7 linked regions of the Macaca mulatta genome follow. The protein of the gene in region 7 interacts with the protein of the main gene of each other region in a biochemical or structural test. Links are inferred from orthologs where the notes say so. Each region holds a gene or a part of one and is shown on either strand. Other genes may lie near its edges.

Region 1 (3,290 bases), on a different chromosome or scaffold from region 7:
AACTGCTATTTGCAGCAGTTCCACAGGCCCTCAGCCCAGCCCCCTGTGCGCACGTGAGGCTGAGACAGGCAGGAGGGCACCTCACTGCAGGAACCTTGGAGCTGGCAGAGCATAGTCTTGGGCTTCACATGCAGAAAGCAACTTCTCACAGCTCCTCTCAGCACCCTGCAGCCCCCGTTCATCCAGGTCACATCCACAGACGGGGTTCTGCCTGCTCCAGAAGCTCTTGGCCCCTTGGCTCAAGTGCAGGCTGCAACAGGACTGAGGAGCCCAGCCCATATCTGGAAGCAGCCTGAGCTGCTGGAAAGATGCCCCCAAAAATGGAAGACTGAGTTTATCTCCTCAAGCAGTTCCCAACATGGCTCAATCCAGATAACCTGTGCTCTGTGCTCCTTGACTCCTGTGACTATAGTGAAGGCAGCTGTGCCTGGTGTGGGCCAAGATTTCAGATCTGCAAACGGCACTGGTGCCAGAGGAATGACCTGTCTGCTCTCAGCAGAGCCCTTTTCCTTCATTATACATGACACCCACCATCCTGGCCCACCTATTGGTCTAGAATCACCAGGATCTCCCAGGAGGAAGCTGCACAGGTCTAACACCACTCTTGTGGCCAGAGCGGCTCTGGAGCTCTGACGCCTCTCATGGGCAGGGTTGTATGCACTGGCTGCTGCTCTGTGGGTGTGCTCTGTGGCTGAGGAGCTGCCACCTGTGTGTGAAGGAACCGTGGGTTGCCCCCCACTAATTAATTGCCTGCAGGCTCCTTCACATAGGCTGAGGGCACATCTCTTGTCCTCTAAGAGGGAACTCCACTCCCGAGGCATCCAGAAGCTCCTAAGTCTCCACAAGCTGGAAGCCGTGTATGGTCAAAAGCAAGTCACAAGAGGGTTTCCCCTGTGGCTGTCAAATGCACTGTGCACTGTCAACAGTGGACCACTGAGGTGCTCCAGGGCCAAGCCAGGAGGTTCAGAATGCACAGGCATGCAGTGAGTGAGGCTAGCAGTACTACAGTAGATGCCTACCTTACACCTCTGGAAACCCCTCCACCTGGCAGCAGGTGCCTCATGTGAAGAACTCCAGCTGAAATAGGCGGACTGGCCCAGTGCCTTGGACACCAACACACCCACAGTCTCAGGTGGATCGATGACCGTAGATCTGCCAGTGAACAAAGAGCCACCCATGAGAGCTGGCCCCAGACTCACCCTCAGTATCCTTAACTAAAATGGGACCAGTAAGGGATGTGAATCCAGGGCCACTGGCTCTAAACCCAGGTTTTCACTAGAGTAGGCAAGCTGCCTATCTCCTCCTGGGTCTCCTGGGCTACCCACATGCCATGCTGACCAGGAGCAGCCTCAGGCACACCACAGAGCAGTGAGGGCCAGTCCCGATTTCACATTTTTAAATCCAGAGCATCTACCTCCAGAAATTGCCACATGACATTTGAAGCGGAAGTGTATGTGGATTCAAATACATATGGCTTGGAAACTTGGATGATAGCCCTGAGTTGAAGAGCCCACTGCTCCCTGCGTTGTGGCCTCTGGGGTGGTACCGCTGGTGTGTGTTAGAGGGTGATTCCTGGGCAGTGGCCCCTGGTATGAAGGGGTAACTCTTCTGTGTGGGTGGATAGAGGTCAGTGCCTTCCCAGAGAACCTGCAGCCATTCCCTGGGGCTGACATCGAGAGCCTGGGCTATGGCTCAGGCACTGTGCTAGTCAAATGCATGACGGAAAAAGAAAATCAGGAGCTCACACTGCACTTCGGGGGCTTAATGCACACCACAAAACACTATTCTGTTTGTTGGCTGCTGCCTTCTCTGAAAGCACATAGCACGTCCTTCTGCAGGTGCCAGCTCTCTGTCCAGTTGTCTGTCCCCCGTCCCGTCTTCTGGGCACTGGGCTTTCCCACGCTGGTATACAAACAGACACAGGGCTCAACAGACACGGACCCAATACACAGCAAGCTGCAGCACAGAGGTGGCCCGTAGGGTGGGGCTGGTCCCGCGGTCCCCATGGCATCCCAGTTGCTGAGTGCTTGTTTTCTCTTCTCCAGGAACGGTTTTCCAAAGCAGACAGCAGCTCAGCTGATTCTGAAGGCCATCTCCAGTTACTTCGTGTCCACAATGTCCTCTTCCATCAAAACGGTGTACTTCGTGCTTTTTGACAGCGAGAGTATAGGCATCTACGTGCAGGAAATGGCCAAGCTGGACGCCAACTAGGCTGAGCAACGACAGAACCAGCTGCACCATGTACCCCACCTCCAATTTAAAAGAAAAAAAAATCCCCTTCACTCCTACTGGGAGGTGGGACCCCTTTCATTTTCAGTTTTGCTCATCTAGGGAAAATAAGGCTTTGGTTTCCAGTTCAATTGTTTTTGACCTTCTAAAATGTTTTTATGTTAGCACTGATAGTTGGCATTACTGTTGTTAAGCACTGTGTTCCAGACCGTGTCTGACTTAGTGTAACCTAGGAGATTTTATAGTTTTATTTTAATGAAACCCTAATTGACGCACAGCAGTGGGGAGAACAGCGTCTTTTACTTGTCGCCGAAGCCAGGAAGCCCCGTTTGTAACCGTGTGTTGTGGTGCTTTATCGTACACCCAGTGGCGTTCTTTTTACTCTAATGTTCTTTTTTTTTCCCCCTCAGAAGAATCATGAATTTGCAACAGACCTAATTTTTGGTTACTTTTTGTCTTAATGATGGATTTGAAAATGGAAGATTTAATAAGGCAAAGCAGAATCTGTTGTCCTTAATTATATTTGCAATTTGGAATTTGTGTGAGTTGATTTAGTAAAATGTTAAACTGTTGTTGTGACTGGTGTGTTTCAGTTATTGTGCCTGTGAGTCGCGGGTCCTAAGTTGGCCTCTGCAGTCACAGGATGTGGGAGCAGGGCAGCCCATTCCCCTCAACCCTTGCCCTGCCCCCACAACTCCTTGGATGCTCCACAGTGTTCAGTGCAACCTGGGTGGGTGTGGGCCATCTGCTGGTCTCAGTGGTTTGTAGAGAGAATTTTTATAAAGCCTCACCTTTTGGTTCTGTGGGACCCTTGGGCCAGGGTGTTATCCCCATTCCACAGATGAAGGAGGGAGTATATCAAGAGCCATGCAGGTGGCATGTGGCAGGCTGGCGCAGAGCCAGGGCTCCAGACCCTGAGCCCAGCTCTCTCCTTACCATTGTCCCCTTCTGACAGTCTCTGGCTCAGGGCTGGGCCTGGCCACTTGCTGATGGAGCTGCCGGAGCCTCATGCCCTCTGCCGGGACTGCTGGGTCTGTCATCCCTGCAGGACGGGATCCCTG
Region 2 (3,500 bases), on a different chromosome or scaffold from region 7:
GTCATTCTATGTGGAACATTTGGGAAAAGTAATTTGCATGGCACTGTCGCCTGACCAAACCCTTCACTTTTTAATTGCCTTTAGTGTCTTATAGTATCTCTATGTATCCTTATAGATTACTATAAGCAGTAATGATTAATGATGAGATATTAAAAGCCTTTGTTCTTTTTTCTTTTCTTTTGAGACGGAGTTTCATTCTTTTTGCCCAGGCCGGAGTGCAATGGCATGATCTCAGCTCACAGCAACCTCCGCCTCCCAGGTTCAAGCGATTCTCCTGCCTCAGCCTCCCAAGTAGCTGGAATTACAGGCGCCTGCCACCATGCCTGGCTAATGTTTGTATTTTCAGCTTGGCCAGGCTGGTCTCGAACTCATGACCTTGTGATCTGTCTGCCTCGGCCTCCCAAGGTGCTGAGATTACAAGTGTGAGCCTCTGTGCCCGGCTGTAAAATTGTCATTTGAGAGGCTGTGTGTAGCTGGAGGTGTTGATGGGTGTCTTTGAGAGGGTGGGGATTCAGAAAGGTTCAGGACGGGCCGGGCGCGGTGGCTCATGCCTGTAATCCCAGCACTTTGGGAGGCCGAGGGGAGTGGATTGCGAGGTCAGGAGATCGAGACCATCCTGGCTAACACGGTGAAACCCCATCTTTACTAAAAATACAAAAAATTAGCCAGGCATGGTGGTGGGTGCCTGTAGTCCCAGCTACTTGGGAGGCTGAGGCAGGAGAATGGTGTGAACCCGGGAGGTGGAGCTTGTAGTGAGCTGAGATTGCGCCACTGCACTCCAGCCTGGGCAACAAAGCAAGACTCTGTCTAAAAAAAAAAAAAATTTGTTTTTCATAACTGTCTTGGTTAAGTGTTTTTCTTACATATGTACAAGGGGGATCCTGAGTTTGAACCACATACTTTGGTAAAGCAAAGGGCATTAGGGTTCACAGTTCCCACAGTCATATTCCATGTCATCCCACCCTGTCTTTTGTAGGTTGCGACCTTTCGTTCCCCGGCAATAAACTGGTCTCTGGAGATCACTGTAAAATTGTAGTGGATGAAAAATCAGGTCAGGTGACACTGGAAGATACCAGGTGAGTATGTTCTGAGCTTCTTTTGGTGTTTCTTCTTGTACCTTAAGAAGCCCGACTCCGTGCTAGTGTGCTGTGTGCCACGGCCGAGGAGCAGAAGAAATGCTGTCTTTGGTGTGATAACAGCACAGTCGTGTCCCTTAGCAACACGGATACAGTCTGAGAAATGTGTCATTAGACAATTCCATCATCTTGCAAACATCATGGAGTATGCTTAAACAAAACCTGGTGGTATAGCCTACTACGTACCTAGGCTACATGGTGCAGCCTGTTGCTCCCAGGCTGGAAACCTGAACAGCGTGCCACTGAACTGAATGCTATAGGCAGTGGTAACACCACGGTAAAAGTATTTATCTATCTAAACATGGAAAAGGTGCAGTAGAAATAGGATATTTTAGTCTTATGGGACTACTACCGTGTATGTATCTGTTGAACAAAACGTTATTATCAGGCCGGACGTGGTGGCTCACCTGTAATCCCAGCACTTTGGGAGGCTGAGGCAGGCAGATGAGGTCAGGAACTCGAGCCCAGCCTGGCCAACATGGAGAAACCTCGTCTCTATTAAAAATATAAAAATTAGCTGGGCATAGTGGCATGCACCTGTAATCCCATCTACTCGGGAGGCTGAGACAGGAGAATCACTTGAACCTGGGAGGTGGAGGTTGCGGTAAGCTGAGATGGTGCCATTGCACTCCAGCCTGAGAAGCGAGTGAAACTCCGTCTCAAAACAAAACAAAACAAAAGTTATTATCTGGGACATGACTGTAGTTAATTAGGCTCCCAAGGTATAAGAAGACGTATTTCCTGGTTTCCAGGATGGGACACTTAGTGACACTTTGGTATCTATGACCCTTCTTGAATGTATTCAAATTAAATATGTCTCAGAAATAAGACTTAAAAGATGCTCGTAATTTTTAGTTCTTGCAAGCCTATTCAGGTTTGATTTCTTTCCCTCAAATCCAAAAATCGTTTTTTAAAACTAATAAATTCTCGTTCTTGTACAACTTAAGTACAGATTGAGTATCTGAAATGATTGGGACTAGAGTGTTTAGATTTTGAATTTTTTCAGATTTTAGAATATTTGCATTATAATTACCAATTGAGCGTGTCTGATTCAAAATTCTGAAATGCTCCAGTGGGTATTTTTGAGTGTCTTATTGGTGCTCAAAAAGTTTAGGACTTCAGATATCTGATTAAGGACATTCAGCTTAGGGATATTCAACTTAGAAAGTGGAAAGCTTTCCAAAATCCCGTTCATACATTAGAAATACATGTGCAGGTGGCCGGGCGCGGTGGCTCAAGCCTGTAATCCCAGCACTTTGGGAGACCGGGACGGGCGGATCACAAGGTCAGGAGTTCGAGACCATCCTGGCGAACACGGTGAAACCCCGTCTCTACTAAAAAATACAAAAAACTAGCCAGGCGAGGCGGCGGGCACCTGTAGTCCCAGCTACTCGGGAGGCTGAGGCAGGAGAATGGCGTAAACCCGGGAGGCGGAGCTTGCAGTGAGCTGAGATCTGGCCACTGCACTCCAGCCTGGGCGACAGAGCCAGACTCCGTCTCAAAAAAAAAAAAAAAAAAAAGAAATACATGTGCAGGTATATATATTTTGCATTAATGCGATTACGCTACGCATACTGTTGTAGCGTCAGCTTTTTTCTTCTTCTTTTTTTTTTTTTTGAGATGGAGTTTCACTCTGTCACAGGCTGGAGTGCAGTGGTGCAATCTCGGCTCACTGCAGCCTCCACGTCCCAAGTTCCAGTGATTCTCCTGCCTCAGCCTCCCGTGTGGCTGGCATTATAGGCACGCACTACCACACCCAGCTAATTTTTTTGTGTTTTTAGTAGAGACGGGATTTCACCGTGTTGGCCAGGCTGGTCTCAAACTCCTGATCTCGGGTGATGCGCCTCCAAAGTGCTGGGATTACAGGCATGAGCCACTGCGCCCGGCACTCACGCCTGTAATCCCAGCACTTTGGGAGGCCGAGGGGAGTGGATTGAGAGCTTTTTTCACTTACAGTGTTGTGTGGAGCGCTTCACATGTCCCTGCGTCTGCATCTATCTCATCTTCTTGTCATTTTAGGATAGTTTCTTTGTCACTTCCCTTATTGGTGGACATTTATTGTTTTGACTTTTTCTTACTATAAATAACACTGCAGTGACTCTTTCCCAAACTCTGCTTTCATGTCTGTTTTCTTGGGATGATTCTTGAAAGGGAAACCTGTGTCAGTGTCACTCAGAATGTGCCTATTCCGTTTTTTTTTCTTTTTTGAGATGGAGTTTCGCTCTGTAGCTCAGGCTGGAGTGCAGTTGGTGTGATCTCGACTCACTGCAACCTCTGCCACCCGGATTCAAGCGATTCTTCTGCCTCAGCCTCCTGAGTAACTGGGATTACAGGTGCACGCCACCACGCCCGGCTCAGATGGGG
Region 3 (4,069 bases), on a different chromosome or scaffold from region 7:
AAAAAAAATTGAATTTTTGACACAGATGAGCAATGATTAAAAAATGAGATTGCTAATATCTGTAGTTAGGAAAATAAAGATAAATGAGCATGTTCATACACAGTCTTGGCTAGAATGTAAATTGCAAACTTTTAGAGATTTAGTAACATTTATCAAAAATTTAGCCGGGCATGGTGGCACATGCCTGTAATCCCAGCACTTTGGGAGGCTGAGGCGGGTGATCACCTGAGGTCGGGAGTTCGAGACCAGCCTGGCCAACATGGTGAAACCCCGTCTCTACTAAAAAAAAAAAAAAAAAAAATTAGTCGGGCGCGGTGGTAGGCGCCTGTAATCCCAGCTACTCGGGAGGCTGAGGCAGGAGAATCATTTGAACCTGGGAGGCGGAGGTTGCAGTGAGCCGAGATCGCGCCACTGCACTCCAGCCTGAATGACAGAGCAGGACTCCATCTCAAAAAAAAAGAAAGAAAGAAAAGAAAAAAAATTAAATGTGTACGCTCTTTGACTCAGCTGTATTACTTCAAGGAGTTGATAGCACCAAAATTGCCTAAGTGCTCAAAGGTGTTTGTAATTAACAGGAGATTGATAAGTTACATACATGTGATGCTATCTTTTAAAGAGGTACTGATATAAAAAAGATGTACGTGGCATAAAATTAAATGTACTTTATTAAGTACTTTTTCGAAGTGTTTACGGAATGAGTGCATTTTGAAAAAAAAAAGTGTATTCGAACTTTCAAAAAAGCTTTAAAAGCTTTATACAAGGAACGATTGAGTGATTATAAGAGCTGGCAGTGGAATGTTAAGAGGTGAGAGGGAGCTAAGTTTAACATAACTCTTTATGGTGTGACACTTAGGAGCGCATCACTTTTGTAATTGAAAAATAAAGTGCATATTTGCAGCAGCTGTACTCTTCAGGCTACAAGGAGGCTTTTCCTCCCGGTAGGCTGGATTTGCTTTTCACTTTCACTTTCGTGGCTGGAAACTTTCTACCCACGGAGCTGGAGGCTGAGGAGGCACCATAAAGCTGGGGCTTGACGAACCGGGGCCTGGGCCGGATCCCCACATATGCCCGGACTTGTTCAGTGGTCAGGTTCAGGAGTCAGGCGAAGAGGCGGGGAGACCTGCGGGACGCTGCCCCGCCCTGCACCCGCTTCCTCCAATGTATGTCCTAGGGGGCGGGCCTCGCGGGGAGCATCGGCACGATTGGCCCTAAATTCTAACCCGCCCAGGCCGTGGGCCGGGCAGCGTGGTGACGTCGCAACGCGGCGCAGGGTAAGAGCGCGCGCTGGCGGACGCGGCGGCATTAAACGGTTGCAGGCGTAGCAGACTGGTAGTTCTGTTTCTAGGTCTCAGCTTCTCGTCACGACGTTCGCCCGCTCGCTCTGAGGCTCCTGAAGCGGAAACCGGCTAGACTTTCCTCCTTCCCGCCTGCCTGTAGCCGCGTTGCTGCCACTCCGCCACCATGTTCGAGGCGCGCCTGGTCCAGGGCTCCATCCTGAAGAAGGTGTTGGAGGCCCTCAAGGACCTCATCAACGAGGCCTGCTGGGATATTAGCTCCAGCGGCGTAAATCTGCAGAGCATGGACTCGTCCCACGTCTCCTTGGTGCAGCTCACCCTGCGGTCTGAGGGCTTCGACACCTACCGCTGCGACCGCAACCTGGCTATGGGCGTGAACCTCACCAGGTGAGCCTCGCGGCGTCGAGAAGCCGGCCCCGGCCCACCCCCACCTCCGGGGTTTGGCGGGATCGCTTCCGAGCCGAGCCCTCATTGGCTGGCGTGGACCATCCGCACCTTCTCATTGGCCTGCCATGCAGGGGGGTGGGGCCCAGCTGAGCGCGCGGTTCGGAAAAGCCCGCGCTGGCTGCTGCGCGAACCTGCTTTTTCGCGCCAAAGTCACAAAGCGGGTGGTGGCGGGAAAATGACTGGTTTTTCTGCAGTGCCAGGAACACTGCTCCAGAGCTTTTGCTCACTAAATCCTGTTGGCCTTGAATGGACGCTTTAGTTGTGGCTTTTTTGTTTCCGAGACGGTCTCGATGTGTTGGCCCGGGCTGGTCTCCAACTTCTGGGCTCAGGCGATCCTCCCGGCTCAGTCGCGATTGACTTTAAATGCTTTATAATGTGCCCTTGCGAGAAAAGTGTCAGCCTGTCATCCTACTTAGTGGCAGGAGATTGTTTCTATCCAGAAGGGAAACTGCTGGTGGTATTTTAGTATAAATACTGCCAGATGCATCCCAAAATGTCTGCATTAATATTCGCATCCTCCAGCAGTGCAATTACCCTCCACCAGTTCTGAGACGGCCTATGGGTGAGAGTGGTAACCCCTTCTAACTGCATTAGAAATACAGACCTTCAGTAGATGGTGTTGATTTTAAACCATGTGTCTCCTGTCTTCTAGTATGTCCAAAATACTAAAATGCGCCGGCAATGAAGATATCATTACACTAAGGGCTGAAGATAATGCGGATACCTTGGCGCTAGTATTTGAAGCACCCAGTAAGTCGTACCTTTTTACTGAGTTATGAAGCTACAGAAGATCAAAACTCTGTGCCAGTGTTTCTCAACAGCATTTGCTTTTTTTTGGTAGACCAGGAGAAAGTTTCAGACTATGAAATGAAGTTGATGGATTTGGATGTTGAACAACTTGGAATTCCAGTGAGTATCAGTTTCTGATTGTAGCGACTGCTGTACACAGGCATGATAGTTATATCATAGAATGTTGTTTATTTTTACAGACAGGGTCTTCCTCTTTTCCCCAGGCTGGAGTGCAGTGGTGCCATATAGCTCACTGTAACCTGGGACTCCTGGGCTCAAGCAATCCACTTAGTCTCCTAAGTGGCTAGGAAGGACTACAGATCTGTCCCACCACGCCTGGCTAATTTTTTTATTTTTGTGTGTGGGTGTGGGGGCAGTCTTGCCCAGGCTGGTCTGGAACTCCTGGCCTCAATGATCCTCCTCCGTCAAGATAAGTTAATATAATTTAAGCCTACTTCATAACAGAACTTTTTCTAGAAACATATCTACTGGTGCATGTTTTAAAGAGATTTTAGTATTTGGATAGTTGTTTACCACAAGTCTAAAACTCACTGGTTAAATTTATTGTTTACTGCCAGTTGTCTATTTGCATTAATTTCCATGAACCTCTTTTAAAATTTGCTTCCTTCTAGGATGGTTGGTTTTGTTTTGTTTTGTTTTGTTTTTGAGGCGGAGTCTCGCTCTGTCGCCCAGGCTGGAGTGCTGTGGCCGGATCTCAGCTCACTGCAAGCTCTGCCACCCAGATTTACGCCATTCTCCTGCCTCAGCTTCCCGAGTAGCTGGGACTACAGGCGCCCACCACCTCGCCCGGCTAGTTTTTTTTTTTTTTTTTTTTTTTTTTTTTTTGTATTTTTTAGTAGAGACGGGGTTTCACCAGGTTAGCCAGGATGGTCTCGATCTCCTGACCTTGTGATCCGCCTGTCTCGGCCTTCCAAAGTGCTGGGATTACAGGCTTGAGCCACCGCGCCCGGCCCGATGCTTGATTTTTGTTAAGTGGGTTTGAAAGCTATCTTAGAAGAAATGTATCCAGGTTAGGTTTATAAACACCAAAGGAGAGAAGAAATGTTGGAATGTTGAAAATGCCTAATATCATATTCTCTCGTTTTCTTTTAGAAAATAGTTAGACCTGCTTGCGCCGTCATCATTTCTGTGGCATACTCTAATGTTCTCTTACTTTATCCCTGGAGGATGAGGAGGAGGAGGCGCTTGTTCCCTGGGCAGTGCATTTAATAGCCATTTATTTTTTTTGAGTGGAGTTTGTTAAGAAATTACACGAGTCAGTAATCAGAAAATCTTGATTCTGAGTTGTTTAGATGTTGCCTTTTAAGAAAGTGAGGGTGCCAAATCATTAAATTTCTAACAAGTAACTTTTGGAAAATTTTTGTTCTTAATAGGAACAAGAGTACAGCTGTGTAGTAAAGATGCCTTCTGGTGAATTTGCACGTATATGCCGAGATCTCAGCCATATTGGAGATGCTGTTGTAATTTCCTGTGCAAAAGACGGCGTGAAATTTTCTGCAAGTGGAGAACTTGGAAAT
Region 4 (4,271 bases), on a different chromosome or scaffold from region 7:
CAGAACTCTGACACATGCTGGCCTAAAGTCTGAGTGAAATCCATTTACTGAACGTCCAACTCTGCGACCAGGAATTGCCAGATGACTCAGGATTTGGTCTATTGTGTTCTTCGGGTCCCTATTGAGACCACACCTCTTTATGGGTCCTGCGTTCCTGTAGCTAGATTCAAAGCAAAATGTTTCTTCCAAGCAATTTCCTGAAAATGAGTAATTAGAGTCCTGAAACCCTCTAAGGAATGTTCAGGCCTGCATTTGCTGTACTTCCTTCGAGGAGAAAACAGACCTGTGACCCTGAACTTATAGCTTGGATTTTAAACATGTCATGGGGCCCTCACATGGCATCTCTGGGTAGCCAAAAGTTCTGTGAGGATCTGTTGTCTGCAACATGGATGTCTGTCAGAGTGAGACCAGCTCGCTGACATTCCGGGACGTTTGTAGCCATTTCAGTTGTTTGGATTTTAAGTAAATACTTGAAAACAAGACTTGGGTAGGTTTATTTTTCCTCTTTATTTTTCTTGTTTACTATAAGCCTAGAGTCCTCGCGTTTTCAACAACTTTGTTGTAGAGCAAATAAAAAGTGCAAGGATTTGGAAGGAGAAAATGAAACTGTTCTGGAACACTCATATGAAATGTTGAATAAATATAGGTTGTTAAAAATCAGCCAAGCAATGGCTGTTACTGAACATGGCCATCTATTAACATGAAATAAACACCACCTGCAAAGTTTCCTTTTAGGAGAAAGGAGCTCAAGTCCTCTGTCCTAGTAATTCTGCGAAGAATTGGGCTGTGAAGGGCTGGCACCCGGGGCAGTGGGGTGCCCTCAACGCCTTGGTTCCAAGGTGCTTGCAGCCCATGTGAAGCCATGCGGAGTCCCATCACATCTGCATCCTGCCTTGGTCTCAGTGCAGTGTGTCACACGGCGGCACACCGGTCACACCTGCTGTGGCAGTCGCCATCCCAATTGATGCCTTTTCTTTTTTTAATTAAAAAAAAAAAATCTCCTGGCTGCATATCATCAAGAAAAACAACATTGTTTTCAGGGTCTCTTATCTCTCCACTCCCAAATATCCTGTTTCTTTGGGCTGGACAGCCAGGACCAATAGAAACCTCTTCCTGCCATTGGCTGACTTCATTTCCCAGACTTAGCACAATCTCATCCGCTCTAAACAACCTCATCAAAACTACTTTCTGGTCAGAGAGAAGCAATAATTATTATTAACATTTATTAACGATCAATAAACTTGATTGCATTATGGCCAGCACTATTAAGGTAAGGAAAGGGTTCCTTTTAATTTGACAAAATCTTGTTCTTGTTACTCTTTTCTTTGGTTTCCTTTATCAAGGCAGATAAGTTAGGGTTGGGCAACACCCCCACTGCCACAATAGAGGACAACAAGATTTCCTTTGCACTGCCTAGTAAATTTCCTTTTTCCTACTCCAACCATCCGCAAGGCTTAAAAACTTCAAACTCAGAAAAAAATTGGGGTTTCTAAATTCACTGTTGAGTGCTGTGGATTACTTTTGGAAAGGCTTTTCGGAGCGCTTCTGAATCTTCTGATTCTCTAACTATCCCTAACGGTGCCTGGATGTGTGTCTGAGAAAAGGCAGCAGACTCGGAGAGGTTGAAGGGTCAGGTCAAAGCAAAAGATGGGTTTGTGAATGTCGGACATTTGGAGGTTCTTCGGTGGCTCCTTAGCATCAGGGATGCCAGGCAGTCCCCATGGAAGCGAAGAGATACTCGGCAAGTGGCTGCTGGTAATGGGATGCAAATGTTGACTTGATTTGGGGGACATCCATGCTGAGAACTGAGTGTTCTCGTAACTCAAACGGGGGTAATTTGGTTTGTTCTGTTCTATGTTTATCTTCAATAAAATACCTGCTCTCTGTGCACCGTGAGTAAGATTTCTTCCTAGCGATGGTTAGGTTTGTGGGGTTGGAAAGCAATGGCCGGTCGGTTCTCTGGGCTCTGGGGTGTTTGGTCTGATGCGTTTCCTTGCCTACGTTTTTAGTAGATAGCATATAGAGATTAACGTGGAGGTCAGTCTGCACAGGTACAATCCTAAATATGGCCTGATTCCTGGAAACAAAGCCAATTTAATGGTGACTGCAAGTCTAGGGGCATGCAGTCTTGAGTGGGGGTCTGTTCCGTTGTTTTAAAGGCCACCATATCTTCGTGACATTTGTAGGAATGTAAAAAAATCAGCAGCAAAAGCAGATACTGAGTGGAGGAAAAAGAAAATTGTATTTGTTGCATGTCTTTAGTTTTGCTGCGTGAAGGTGAAAAGCATTTGGTGGTGTTTTCATGAGGCTTCATGAGGCTTTCAGTTCGTTGGAAAGTGCATAAGAAAATGGAAGTGTGCCCAGAATTGGGCCAAGGCATTTTCAAAAATATTCTTTGGTTTGGTATTTTCATAATTTGAAATGTTTGTATTAGATTTGACTCATATGTACCATAGAAACTGTGTTTCAGAAGTTCAGCTTTTATTTCTCAAGGTGTGTTCAATAATATATTAAAAATCTGTGTACCAAGAACTTTCACCTTATAGAGACTTTTCTTTCTTTGGCTTCAAGGATTGGAATCTGCTGAAATATGGCTCCTGTAGAAAGGAATTATAAAATTGAGGGTTAATGTGCCCTACTTTTAGCTGCATGAATAGAAATTACTTGATTTTGTGACACAAATTGCTATCTTTTTTTGTTCTTGTTTTCATCCTTATTTATATTCGTGTTTGTTAAATCAAATATTCTGTGTCAATCTTGAATAGCTTGGGTACAATCTTATGTGTTTTTTCCCCCCAAAATTAGTGCATTAAAAAGGACATTGAAATAACAGACCATCCTTTAGAAGGTAGGTACATTTTGCAAAACATCCAAATATGTTATACAGTTTAATTTAAAATATACATTTATGAATACATGAAGCTATTTTGAAAGTTTGAATATTTTTTGATTTTCTGAATGATTTTTTGGAAAAATAGTTTACACTCGTCTAAGATACTATGCTTGATTTAACATTTTATTCCATTGCATTATGTGTTTATTGTACGTACCCAAGTGAACCTTTAGAATGCTGCAGGTGAATTTTTTTTTTAATCTTCTGTTAAAATAGTCCCTCTTTATAGGTGACTTCCTTTAAGACATGTTTCTGTTAGATTTCCTGGGTAAAGTAATGAGATGATTTTACAGCCTTGTTTATAGAGTGGAAAAAGGAGATCCTGAGTCTGTTGACTACAGTTTTAATTACATTAGCGCAAAGCCCAAATTAGCGTAGGGAAAATTATGGCTGTCCACTGGAATTAGGAAACAGTCCCCCATAGAGGCAATTTCCAGTCTCCAATGCACTCTGTTTTTTTGTTGTTGTTTCAGTAAATAAATCAGTTAGTCGATTAGGTATCAGATGCTCTGAATTTGTTGTTGGTTTTCTGCATTTGAGTGGAGTTTTTATTTTTTTGCATTAACATTTGTAAGACCCTATGAGGCACTATGAAAAGCTAAATATTCTTATCCAGTCTTTGTGATTCTTACCATCATTTTTCCTTGGCAACTTGAAATTGAGAACAAAATATTTCAACTGGAAGAAGTAAAGCAATTTTGGAATTTTGGGAACTTATGTGAGAGTGCTCATTTACGTCTAAGTGTCTGTGAATTTTAAGATCAGCTGAAGAGTTCTAGTAAAGACTTGGAAGCAACAAAGCCGATGGTTTGCAGACAATTCACGGATCGGTTTTGGTGCTTCCCTTGGGCGTTCATGACATCTGACAATATTGACAGGTGCTGAACCTCACCGGCTCCACTGTCCGCACAAACAGCTCAGTGTTTGCTACAGACTCCAGGAATCCTGCTGTTGCCCTGAAAACCCGATTGTGCTTCAGTTAGGAGTTTTAGCCTAATTTCCCAAAGACTTTCCTGATTCCTTTTTTTTTTTTTAATGCCATCTGCAATTTGGGAAGTCTAATGAAGCCTACAGTCCTTTCTCAGAATAATACTTTCAGGTGCATAAAAAGAAATACATAGAATTACAACAGAAATACAGTTCTCTCCCTGGACCTTTTAAGGAGAACATGAACCCCAGGTTGCAAGTTCTGATCCTAGAAAGATCCTTACTGTGTAAAAAGGGAATGTGGGGGATTTTCCGTCATCACAGAGATCTGACATTGAAGGATGTGGAGAGAGCCAGCAGCCGGCAGCAGCGTTAGGGGAAAGCATCTTAAAAATCAGGATGTGGAAAGTTACTAACAAGGCTTGGTGGAGATCTGAGGGCACCCTAGTAC
Region 5 (3,433 bases), on a different chromosome or scaffold from region 7:
GTTTCAGAGGGGAAAAGAAGAGGTGATTTTCAGCTCATCAACAAAAGATCTTATAATAAATTACATGTTCTGGTACTTTTCCTATCTTTCTGTGTAAATTTTTGCTATTTAAAAAATAAATTTCAAATATATTGTTCATCTTAAAAGTCAAGAGTTTGTTTTATTAAAGTCAGTTGCTTTATTTGCAATTCAAAGATATATTTGAGTTTCAAACTGGAGATTGTCCTGTACGGTAACTTGTGTAAGGTGTGGTTATTGAAAGTAACCTCTAATTTTCATGGGCTGAAATTCATCTCTAATATTGCAATGTACAAAAATAAATAAATAAATAAATGCTTGTTTTCTTTGAAAACATATTATCTCAGTGCCTCTAACTGCCAAATCTATTGGCTTTCTTTGCAGGCTTAAGGGATCTCCCTTGTTCCTTTATTATCTCTATCTTGAGAGCCAGACCTCCTGCCTTACACAACTCAGAGGGGGACCTCAGAGCTTTTTAAAAAGAGCCCAATTTCTCGCCTGTAGAGAAGTGAAAAGGATGCCCCGCCCCCATCTATGAAAAGAAGGATTTGATGGTTTCAATGTCTTCAAATCAAAGATTTAAGTCTCTAGCCCCCCACCACACCGGACCCTACCAAGGCTCATGAACCCCCTCCCATCCCTCCCTAATTACTTTGGACTGGCCCTGGAATCCTTGTCCCAGTCCACAGTTCCTGTGCGTCTGCAGGAAGAATTCACACAGGACCTGTGTTACTTCCCTTGTGAAGAAACAGAATTATCATGAAAATTTAGGTGGAAACCATTTCGCTTTTTTTTTCAAAAATAAGGGAAGCATGTGCCCAACCACCCCTGGGAAAAAGAACTTTCAGGGGCAAAGGAGCGAACAGGTAATTTATAAGAAAAACAGAAAGTGGTCTCTGACTGCCCCAGACTTCCTTCGGAGTTGGGGGAATTGGGGACGCCTGGACGCGTTGTTTTTGTGGTTGTGGAAAAAATAAATGAAAAGCCTGAAGCCCGAGGCTTCTGAGATCCTTTCCTGACCAAATCCGGGTGATTTGGTGCAGGGAATTTTAATATTTTTCCCCTTTTGTGAGGTGGAACAAACACAACTTGGGAGCAGCGCAGCGACTCAGAGCCTGCCAGCCAGGCGGGCCACCAGAGCACCAATCAGAGCGCTCCTGCGCTCTATATATACAGCGGCCCTGCCCAAGCGCTGTTTCATCGGCGCTTTGCCACTTGTACCCGAGTTGTTGATCCTCAACATGTCCGAGACTGCTCCTGTCGCTCCCGCTGCCGCGCCTCCGGCGGAGAAAGTCCCCGTAAAGAAGAAAACAGCCAAGAAATCTGGGGGGCCGCCTCGTAAGGCATCTGGTCCCCCGGTGTCAGAGCTCATCACCAAGGCGGTGGCAGCCTCTAAAGAGCGCAGCGGGGTTTCTCTTGCTGCTTTGAAAAAAGCGTTGGCTGCCGCCGGCTATGATGTGGAGAAAAACAACAGCCGAATCAAACTTGGTCTCAAGAGTCTGGTGAGCAAGGGCACTCTGGTGCAGACTAAGGGCACCGGTGCTTCTGGTTCCTTCAAACTTAACAAGAAGGCAGCCTCCGGCGAAACCAAGCCCAAGGTTAAGAAGGTGGGCGCAGCCAAGCCTAAGAAGCCGGTTGGGGCAGCTAAGAAGCCTAGGAAGGCGACTGGCGGCGCTACCCCGAAGAAGAGCGCTAAGAAAACACCGAAGAAGGCGAAGAAGCCGGCCGCGGCCACTGTGACCAAGAAAGTGGCCAAGAGCCCAAAGAAGGCCAAGGTTGCGAAGCCCAAGAAAGCTGCCAAAAGTGCTGCTAAGTCCGTGAAGCCCAAGGCCGCCAAGCCCAAGGTTGTCAAGCCTAAGAAGGCGGCACCCAAGAAGAAATAGGTGGACGCCTGCTTCAAAAAACCCAAAAGGCTCTTTTCAGAGCCACCACTGATCTCAATAAAAGAGCTGGATACTTGTTTTTCTTAGTTGCCCTTGTTCCTTTTCTTGCTCGACCCTGCTCCTTAAGGTTAGTCGAACGGGAACCTTATAAGACAAATAAGTAACGGGGGTTCGAGAGTGGCCGTGGTGAGGTTACGGCGCTTAAACCTTTACTGCGACTTCCATGTCCCTGACTGCTGCTTCGAGGCGTTTCCCGCTGGCGGATGTTTTTGGGATGGCAGTCAGCCACGCCCCAGGCCTGTGAAAGGCAGAAAAGATCGCAAAACAAGAGCCAGTTTCTTCGTCTAAAGGGATATCCGGATTGGACTAAAAAATAATTCAAAAGTCCCGCCCTGCTCCTGGGTTGGTCCGTCGTTCTAGTCCATGACTTTAATTCTATATTTAATTGGATGGTGGCAGACGTTGCTTATTCCGTGTGTGTTGCTTCTCTGTGACTTGAAAGTTTTGCCTCTTGATATTAACGTTCGGGATTTCGGACGCTTTCCATGTTGTAGGTAGTCAAGTTGGTATCTCCTGGAGGTAGTGGCAACATCCAGCCCTGGGAGGAGAGTGCGTGCAGGTACCTTTGTCCTACATTCCTCTGCTGTTAATTTCTCATTCCTGTGGTAACAAAGGAATGCATTTGAATAAACAGCGGCAATAGCCCTTCCTCCACCCAAGGCAATCGTGGACCTAGGGAGCTTTTTGTTTCTCATATCATGCATGTAGTGTTCCGCTAAACTGACAGATTTGAGCGTATCGATTTTGAGCGTATCGAAAGCACAACTTTTAGCCAGCCATTTTGTCCTCGCTTGACGGTTACTTATCCTCAGTTTAGGCAGACATCAACATTTAAAAATCGAAGTTCTTTTAAACACATTTTGTTTGGCAGTCCAAGTGTTTCTACGCGGAGAACGATTTGTACTATTAACTAAAGTATATGGATAAATGAGAGACATTTCTAATAAAGGCCTTCGTTAATGGTTCCCTCTATTTGACACCCATGGTGCTTCTGAATACAGAAAACCTAGCGTCTTATATTCGGTTCTTTTAAAATCTGATAGGCACATTTCGGTGAGACCTAAATTATGTGGACCGGGACTTCTGGAGATAAGCTGCTCAGTTATTCTACCATCTCCACAATGATGAATGTAGTGAGTTAATTTCTCTGTTAGTGATAGTGACCACGGATTCATCCCAAGAAAGGGAGAAAGGGGAGGGAGGCAAGCAGAGAGACAGGGAGGCAGAGGCAGGGAAGAAGGAAAAAGCATTCTCCCATGGGTTAAGTAATTTTGTGTTGTTAATTTTACATTACAACACGGTTTACATGGTGAACTCTATTTTGGTGTAAGGTTTAATATATGGACATATTTTCTCCCAAGACCATTTATGAACTTTCATTTCTGCTTCCCCCTTCTTCCTTCCGTGTCACCCTCCACACTCCTATCAATTTTGGCTATTTTTGTCATAGGCTAATAGGCTAAAATTTCATG
Region 6 (3,939 bases), on a different chromosome or scaffold from region 7:
CACGGTGGTTCCTATTCATGATCCAGATTAGCTGTGGTGGCTGGAACTGTAGTCTGTGTTCAACAGAGGTCTTCCTCTTGAGGGTTGGGGGAAGTAAGAAAGCAAACTGGTAAAAACGAGTGAGTCAAGAGCAAGTTTTTGCCATGCACCTTGGCCCCTCCCACCACCAATACAAACCAAAGCCAAACCACAAGGTTCTTGAAAAGAATCTCACATTAGGAAAACGTTACAGTGTATTTAAACGTTACGGTGTGTTTATCCACTTCTCCCAGGATCTTACTGGGAGAATAAAATGCCTCCCCTTGTGGAATTCCTGCAACGGGAATGAAGGTTTTTGAATTTCACAGCAGGGGATGCCTTGGCGAGGTTCTAAAATCCCACTAGGAATCTTTCTTCTACGTCCAGGTTCGCCTGGATGCCTGGAAACGACCCCTCTTCTGCCCTTTCTCCTTTATGAATCGAGCTTTGCTGAATTCTCTCTCAAGTGAGGTAAAAGCTCGTCTCCCTTTCAACTATCACTCGGAGGGATAGATTGGCGGCAGCGCATAAGGTGGGGCCGGGAGCCCCACTCAGCCCACATCCCGCGGGTCAGGGCTAATCACCCCACGTCCCATCTGAGCCACCTTCCTTGTGTCCTGCGCGGGTTGCAGCTGCTGGAAGCCAAGAACACGGAGCACTGACAAGTGACAACAACCGTCAGCGCTGTCACTGCGGCTCCAGGCCGCGGAGGGAAGGCTGAGCTTGCGTCAGGGCCGCGTCCCCGGGAGCGTAGACATCTAAGCCAACGGGAATGGAAGATCCTCCTACCTACTGGGCCGCGATGGCTTCTCCTCCCGCGATTTAAATCCTCCGGAATTCGAATCTTTCCCCATAGCTCTTCTCTTCCCGCCCACCTAAGCCCCACCCTGCTGACTCGGAACTCGCGCAGGCGCCGAGAGGGGGCGCGTAGTGCCTTTGGGGATTGGTAGTTTTTTCCAGGGCGTCTTAGCTCGGGAAAGGAAGTGAAGAAAGGCGCCAGGACTACAAGGCCCGGCGTCCTCCAAGAAGGGAGGGAGGTGAAAAGGGTGGTGGGGAATAAGCCGGGGTTTTTAAACAATAATTTTGAGGCGGCGTGACTGGGGAATCCCCGATTGCGTCATCAGTAGGCGTGGAGGGACGGGACTCGGGAAACTGCGCTGGGGCTGGGCTCTGACAGGACCGGCGCAGGCGCGGGTAGCCTTTGCGGCCCTCCCCCGCTGTTTTTCCCAAGTCCTGGGCTTTCCCCGCGGAAACAGCGGAGGGGCCAGTCTCCTGGCGAAGGGGCCTAATCCTTGCCCGCCATGCCCGGGGGCTTCGAGCTGCAGCCGCGGGACGGCGGTCCCCGGGTGGCCCTGGCGCCCGGGGAGACTGTGATCGGCCGCGGGCCGCTGCTGGGAGTAAGTGTGGGCGGGGGCTCGGCGGACCCCGAAAGCCGTGGAGGTCCGCTCCGGCGCCTGAAGACCGGCCCTAGTCCTAGCCCTATTCCCCACCGCGCTGGTCCGCCGGTCTGGATTTTATAAGTTTGGGGCCGCAAGTTTTTCAGTTACCTTTAAGCAATTCACAAACATTTCTTTATGTTGCTTTAAAAACACTGACTGTATTACCATTATTATCTTTTCCGGGGTTTGGCAAACTAGAGTCTGGGGGCCAAATCCAGCCTATGTTTGTATGGCCCCGTGAACTAAGAATGATTCTTAAATTCTAAAATGTAAAATATAAACAAAAAACCTACCAATTTTTCCGGGAGAATATTGCTGCAAGGGTTCAGGGTATTGTGGCTTGTCCTGTAAAGCCTAAAATATTTACGGTAGTCTCTGGCCCTTTACAGAAAAGTTTGCCAAACCGTGATATTATGTCTTCTAGGCTAATTTAAGCTTTGGTCTCCTTTGCAGAGCTGTGTGGACCTTATTTATTTATTTGTATTATTTATTATTTCCAGTAAAATGAGTAGCTAATCCTTAATAAGGAATGTGTATAGCGTTCGAGTCATTGGTCTAAGGAGACATTATCTATACCAACATCTTTAACTGTCAGGTATTTTTATTATCCTCATTGTTCAGATGAGAAAATTGAGCCATACATACGTTATTTAAGGTCCATGCATAAGCTTTTGGACACAATGCCACAAAACTAAATATTCTCTACCTTCTTTGGGAGGTTTAGGAATGAGAACATTTGCATATTGCATTCCAGAATTCTATAGAGCTCTTCTTAAGTACATCTAGTTTTTAATTTTTTTCTTTAACATTCAGCATTTCTTTTTAGTGCTCACTGTGTAGAACATTTTGCAGATTCTAGCACTGTGGGGCATACAAAGATGAATGGAACATGGGTCCCTGCCCGCTAGGAGTTTTCTCTTGGGACTGGGAGACACCTGTGTCAGTGAGCTAACACCAAAGAGTGAGGAGTGTTTACTGTTATCCTGATTGACTTCTAGAGTCTAAATGGAACCATTGGTACTTGCCTTAGGTCCCTTCTGGGAGCAGGGAAAGGAGTGGTAGTTTAAGATTGTGTTATGGAAATTGGTCCTAAAGGCGTGTGTGTGTTGTGTGTTGTGTACATACACATGTGCATGTAGTACGGTTATTGAGACAGTACTCAATTGCTGTTCTTTTTTTTAACTGACAAGTGATTATTTAAATGTTTAACATCATTTCAATTTTTTTTTTCGTCGTTTATTAGCCTTACAAACACTGGAAGGAACTGGAGGCTTTATTTTTCTGTTTTTCTTTTAAATTCGTAGGTTAGAAACTTAGAGTATGTGTTTCATCTAGTAATCATGTGTCTGGTGACTAATGAGTTTTGACTTGCTTAAGACATTGTCACCAGTAGAGTACCTGGGTCTGGTTAAAAGATGGATGAATTTTAGGGCCGTGTTGTAGAAACTTGGCAACAGATTGCATACCCTTTCATTATTTGTAGCTTGTTCTTTGTGTTGTCGACTTGCTAATGTGAGATGAGCCTATTTGGTATCTGTTTTTTAAAATGATAGGGAGTGAAAGCTGGGCAATTATCTGGTCAAGATCTTGCTTTTCCTTTTAAAATAACATTCAGGGATGAGATTCTGTTGCCAAGGTTGGCAGGTATCAGAAGTGCTTATGAATGACATCCTAAGTGTGTTAAAGGAAAAATTTGGAGAACAAACAAATCACCTTGTAGTTTTTTCGATTTTGGAGCTGACAGATGCACTCGATTCTTCTCCGCAGTGGTTAAAACACAACATAAGGGCCCCTGTTTCCAACAACAGGAATTCCAGTGAGACTTATTTTTGTTTTGTGAGAGAGCGAAGACTGAGTTCTAAGTGGAAAACTCAGTAAGTTCATTGTAAATTGGTATACATTGGAAATGATTAATATAAATAAGGATGATTTTGAACTTTCTTAATTGGGCACGTTTTTCTGAGACAAGCTTCACAAACCTTGATGGCCACACAAACATAAAAGTTTATAATCCCACTGTGTAAAATAGTCTTAGTAGTAAAACAGTTTGACAATGAGAATATTTTTATATTTTTACGGTGGTAGGAAAACACAGAGAAACCTGTCACAAACAAAGGACAATGAAATTTAATCTTTCTTGTGCCCTTTGCTTTCACGTGAGTCATCAGAGAACCCCAGCTCTTTGTTTACTAGATTTTGATTCTGCTTCATGATTGGCATCAGTTAGATGGTTTTACAGCAGGATTTATCTTCAGAGAACTTAAGTTAAAACAGCCAATCCAAAAGATTACATATTGTGTAATTCTATTTATATAACATTATTGAAATTGCAGATTGCAAAATTTCAAAAATGGAGAACAGATTAGTGGTTGCCAAAGGTTAAAAAATTAGGCAGGAGGGCAGATGGGAATGGATATGGCTATAAAATAGCAACGTGAGGGATATTTATGGTGACAGAAATGTGCTTTGTCTGGACTGTGTC
Region 7 (3,500 bases):
GAGGTAGACCAGCATTCCTAGGTTTTCTGAACTTTGAATATAAATATGAAAATAAAACATAACTAGTCTCATCTATAATACTCAGGTTTACTTAGCATAGATTACGTCAGCTATTTGACAGCTGCTTGTTAGGCTTGTGCACTGGGCCAGGGATAATTTTAATTGCACATCATAGCTGTGACTTCCTCTGACCCATTGTGTTTTAACTCATGCTGAGCTGGACTCTCTTCCAGGAGCCAGTTGCTTGTTCTGGAAATGCCCTGCTCACTGACAGTGAGCCCCATATTCCAGCTTCCCTGATATCCCAAAACATAGAATTTTAAGACAAAAAGGAACCCTGAGCCCAAGTAGATGAAGAGGTGGAGGCTCAGGAAAGTGGAGCCACTGGCCCAGGATCTGCCCAGCCCACGGGCCTGGGACACAGGCTCTCGGTCATGCCTGGCTTCCTTTGAGGAGTGTGGTGTTGAGCTGTGCATCGACTGAGCCTGAGCATTCCTCCTCTGTAGCTCTCCTGGGGTCTCCTTTGTGCTAATCCCAAGATTCTGTTTACCCAGGTGGTTGGCAGAGATTCTGAAGAAGCCGAGATCATCAGGAAGTATGTTAAGAACACTCATGCAACCACACACAATGCGTATGACTTGGAAGTCATCGATGTAAGAATCCCTTCTTCCCCCACTTTCTTCTGTGTCCTGCCAGCTTTTCCCTGCCCACTCCTCCAACCTGGGCCTGGGTAGAAAAGAGCAGTTTACTTACTTTAAATAATCCAAAGAAGTGACTCATTTGTTCAGCAGAAAAATTAGTCTTTTTTTTTTTTTTTTTTTTTTTTTTTTTTTGGCATGGAGTCTCACTCTGTCACCCAGGCTGGAGTGCAGTGGTGCAATCCCAGCCCACTGCAACCTTTGCCTCCCGGGTTCAAGTGATTCTCCTGTCTCAGCCTCCAGAGTAGCTGGGATTACAGGCATGCGCCACCACACCCGGCTGATTTTTGTATTTTTAGTAGAGGCAGGGATTCACCATGTTGGCCAGGCTGGTCTTGAACTCCTGACCTCAGGTGATCTGCCTTCCTTGGCCTCCCAAAGTGCTGAGATTATAAAATTAGCATCTTATACAGTAGTTTGGGGATGGCTTTTTATTATGTTTTAAAGGACATTTCCCATCCCCAAACCTGGTCTCAGAACGTACAATTATCAGAGGTCTAAGATAAAGTTCCTCAAGTGCACATCTGCTGCACAGTAATACTAACTAGCAATGGCTGGGCTCTGCTGGGCCAGACCTTGACCTTCCATCCCAGCCTTGTGGAAAACATTTTCTGCATTGCAGCAGACCTTAAGTCTTCTAGCCTTAGGGACAGCCAGTCATTTCTCCTGTGTCCAGTCCTATCTTTCAATCAACCAGAGTAACAAATGGCTTCTTTTGTCCCTCCCTTTGTTTACTACTACAACCAGATCTTTAAGATAGAGCGTGAAGGCGAATGCCAGCGCTACAAGCCCTTTAAGCAGCTTCATAACCGAAGATTGCTGTGGCACGGGTCCAGGACCACCAACTTTGCCGGGATCCTGTCCCAGGGTCTTCGGATAGCCCCGCCTGAAGCACCTGTGGTATGTGCCTGGCCTAGTGAGGGGTGGGCAATACCTGTCTCTGCAGGTGTCTCCATAAAGAACTTTGAGTAAGAGGCCTAGTTGGCTTAGGGGGATTCTGCCAGACATCCTTTCTTTAGGCCTTCACCCTTTTATCCTTCTGACCCTGATCCTGTCAGGAGTTTAAAACACAGTTTCTGGAACAAAGGAGATAGAGCATCCAGGCCAGGGCCTGCTGCAAATGCTAATCGGGTGTGTTGATGAGCAAAGAACAGACACGTGGCTACAGGCCAAGCTGAGTCCAGGCCTACCTCTACCACTTCCCAGCCGGGCCACCTCTTGAGTGTCAGTGTCTTCAGCAGGAAAACGTAGTGATAAATAAGTAAGGCTTTACCCAGACACGAGGGGTCGTGATGCCACCTGCTGGATTCTAGATGGGTCCAGCTGGACAGGGCCTTCCAAGCCTCTAGTTTCACAGTTGTAGAACGAGGAGGAGAGTGGTTTAAATGATTCTCTCTGGTGCTGTGCAGTAGTGTATAACGGGCAAATGGCCTACCCTTTGTGAACCTTGTGTTTCACTTACAAAAGGGAATAAAAATACCAGCCTGCGTTCCTTGGGTGTTGACAGGCACTAGTTTAAGTAACATTGATGAGCTCATTCCATCCTCACAGCAGCTTCATGAGATTATGTTCCCCACTTAAAAGAGGCAAGTAGAGTCCAGAAAGGTTACATAGCTTCTTGCAGCTCCTTGGCACCTGGCAGAGCTAGGATCTGAGCAGCCTGGCTTGTGAGCTAAAACTTTGGTGTTTCCTCAGCATGGGCATTGTGAGAATTAGAAGTGATGGATTGCAGCACTTAGCTGGGTGGCTTGCTCATGTTGGCACTCAGTGAACAGCTGCTCCTGATTTCCCATCAGAAGATTCTCAGCTGTCCCTTTTCCAACCTTCCAGACAGGCTACATGTTTGGTAAAGGGATCTATTTCGCTGACATGGTCTCCAAGAGTGCCAACTACTGCCATACGTCTCAGGGAGACCCAATAGGCTTAATCGTGTTGGGAGAAGTTGCCCTTGGAAACATGTGAGTAAACCTGGCTCTGGGACCGATGGCATTTCATGGGGACAGATGGAATGGGCTATAGGCAGAACTCCCTTTGGCTGGGAGAGTGGAAATTCCCCACTACGTTACTGGACCTGCCAATTAGGATTCTTTTCTTGTAAATAACAGAATCCAATTCAAGTTAAGGGAACAAGGGAGATACAAGGATACTTCAGGAAATGCAAGGGCAGGAACGCAGCCAGGCCTCCAGAGCTGGCAGTGTCTTCTCTCCACGGACTGGGAAGCAGAGAGATTGAGTTGCACAAAGGATGATCCCCCAATGGCCTCCTCCTCCACTCAGCAGTGTTTCAGTTTTCTTAGACCAACCCAAATAGAACTGGAATCTTAATCCCACTTCCAGATTCTCCACAGAGAAAGATCTGATTAGTCCAGCTTGATTTGGACATCCACCCTAGTCCTGTGAACTGTAACCAAAAGCACAGGGTCATGTAAACAGCCAGGGGTCTGGGGACTGTGGAAAGCGGACAGAAACCCAGAGCTGCCGTTCACCACTCCATATAGGGCCTTTCCTTGAAAATGGCCCCATAGCAGTGATCGCTGGGCACAGACTATGTTCAGCCGCAACCGCAGCTTCAGGTTCTGGAGCAGTTCCAGAAACTCGGGAGGAAGCCTGAGCAGTTAAGATGGTCTGGGTTTTGTGGGCTTTTATCTCATCTCTATATCTGATCTTATTCTCCTAATCAAACTGTTGGTTTTGAGAGCACAGTGTGAAAGCCTCTTCTGAGCCCGTCCTCTTTTGAATAGGTATGAACTGAAGCACGCTTCACATATCAGCAAGTTACCCAAGGGGAAGCACAGTGTCAAA

What was found.
Region 1: the proteins of PARP1 (region 7) and MACROH2A1 form a complex in vitro, tested with the Homo sapiens proteins (2 studies listed by BioGRID). The link is inferred for Macaca mulatta from reciprocal best matches to the Homo sapiens genes PARP1 and MACROH2A1.
Region 2: of the proteins of PARP1 (region 7) and CHFR, one has a biochemical effect on the other in vitro, tested with the Homo sapiens proteins (2 studies listed by BioGRID). The link is inferred for Macaca mulatta from reciprocal best matches to the Homo sapiens genes PARP1 and CHFR.
Region 3: the proteins of PARP1 (region 7) and PCNA form a complex in vitro, tested with the Homo sapiens proteins (3 studies listed by BioGRID). The link is inferred for Macaca mulatta from reciprocal best matches to the Homo sapiens genes PARP1 and PCNA.
Region 4: the proteins of PARP1 (region 7) and ERG form a complex in vitro, tested with the Homo sapiens proteins (2 studies listed by BioGRID and IntAct). The link is inferred for Macaca mulatta from reciprocal best matches to the Homo sapiens genes PARP1 and ERG.
Region 5: the proteins of PARP1 (region 7) and H1-2 form a complex in vitro, tested with the Homo sapiens proteins (2 studies listed by BioGRID, with this or other methods). The link is inferred for Macaca mulatta from reciprocal best matches to the Homo sapiens genes PARP1 and H1-2.
Region 6: the proteins of PARP1 (region 7) and APLF form a complex in vitro, tested with the Homo sapiens proteins (3 studies listed by BioGRID and IntAct, with this or other methods). The link is inferred for Macaca mulatta from reciprocal best matches to the Homo sapiens genes PARP1 and APLF.

The regions. Positions count from the first base shown.
Region 1 is NC_133411.1:144,247,819-144,251,108, reverse strand, and holds the end of MACROH2A1 (macroH2A.1 histone), read left to right. Parts: intron 1-1,019; exon of another isoform or gene 1,020-1,152; intron 1,153-2,045; coding exon 2,046-2,211; 3' UTR 2,212-2,790; downstream 2,791-3,290. UniProt on the Homo sapiens protein: Variant histone H2A which replaces conventional H2A in a subset of nucleosomes where it represses transcription. Nucleosomes wrap and compact DNA into chromatin, limiting DNA accessibility to the cellular machineries which require DNA as a template.
Region 2 is NC_133416.1:140,240,552-140,244,051, reverse strand, and holds part of CHFR (E3 ubiquitin-protein ligase CHFR), read left to right. Parts: intron 1-976; coding exon 977-1,076; intron 1,077-3,500. UniProt on the Homo sapiens protein: E3 ubiquitin-protein ligase that functions in the antephase checkpoint by actively delaying passage into mitosis in response to microtubule poisons.
Region 3 is NC_133415.1:78,833,558-78,837,626, forward strand, and holds the start of PCNA (proliferating cell nuclear antigen), read left to right. Parts: upstream 1-1,269; 5' UTR 1,270-1,461; coding exon 1,462-1,682; intron 1,683-2,394; coding exon 2,395-2,492; intron 2,493-2,583; coding exon 2,584-2,651; intron 2,652-3,925; coding exon 3,926-4,069. UniProt on the Homo sapiens protein: Auxiliary protein of DNA polymerase delta and epsilon, is involved in the control of eukaryotic DNA replication by increasing the polymerase's processibility during elongation of the leading strand.
Region 4 is NC_133408.1:8,954,632-8,958,902, forward strand, and holds the start of ERG (transcriptional regulator ERG), read left to right. Parts: upstream 1-1,471; 5' UTR 1,472-1,659; coding exon 1,660-1,755; intron 1,756-4,271. UniProt on the Homo sapiens protein: Transcriptional regulator. May participate in transcriptional regulation through the recruitment of SETDB1 histone methyltransferase and subsequent modification of local chromatin structure.
Region 5 is NC_133409.1:157,052,015-157,055,447, forward strand, and holds H1-2 (histone H1.2), read left to right. Parts: upstream 1-1,217; 5' UTR 1,218-1,259; coding exon 1,260-1,901; 3' UTR 1,902-2,933; downstream 2,934-3,433. UniProt on the Homo sapiens protein: Histone H1 protein binds to linker DNA between nucleosomes forming the macromolecular structure known as the chromatin fiber. Histones H1 are necessary for the condensation of nucleosome chains into higher-order structured fibers.
Region 6 is NC_133418.1:56,275,922-56,279,860, reverse strand, and holds the start of APLF (aprataxin and PNK-like factor), read left to right. Parts: upstream 1-1,139; 5' UTR 1,140-1,319; coding exon 1,320-1,415; intron 1,416-3,939. UniProt on the Homo sapiens protein: Histone chaperone involved in single-strand and double-strand DNA break repair.
Region 7 is NC_133406.1:84,124,320-84,127,819, reverse strand, and holds part of PARP1 (poly [ADP-ribose] polymerase 1), read left to right. Parts: intron 1-554; coding exon 555-653; intron 654-1,445; coding exon 1,446-1,598; intron 1,599-2,528; coding exon 2,529-2,656; intron 2,657-3,439; coding exon 3,440-3,500. UniProt on the Homo sapiens protein: Poly-ADP-ribosyltransferase that mediates poly-ADP-ribosylation of proteins and plays a key role in DNA repair.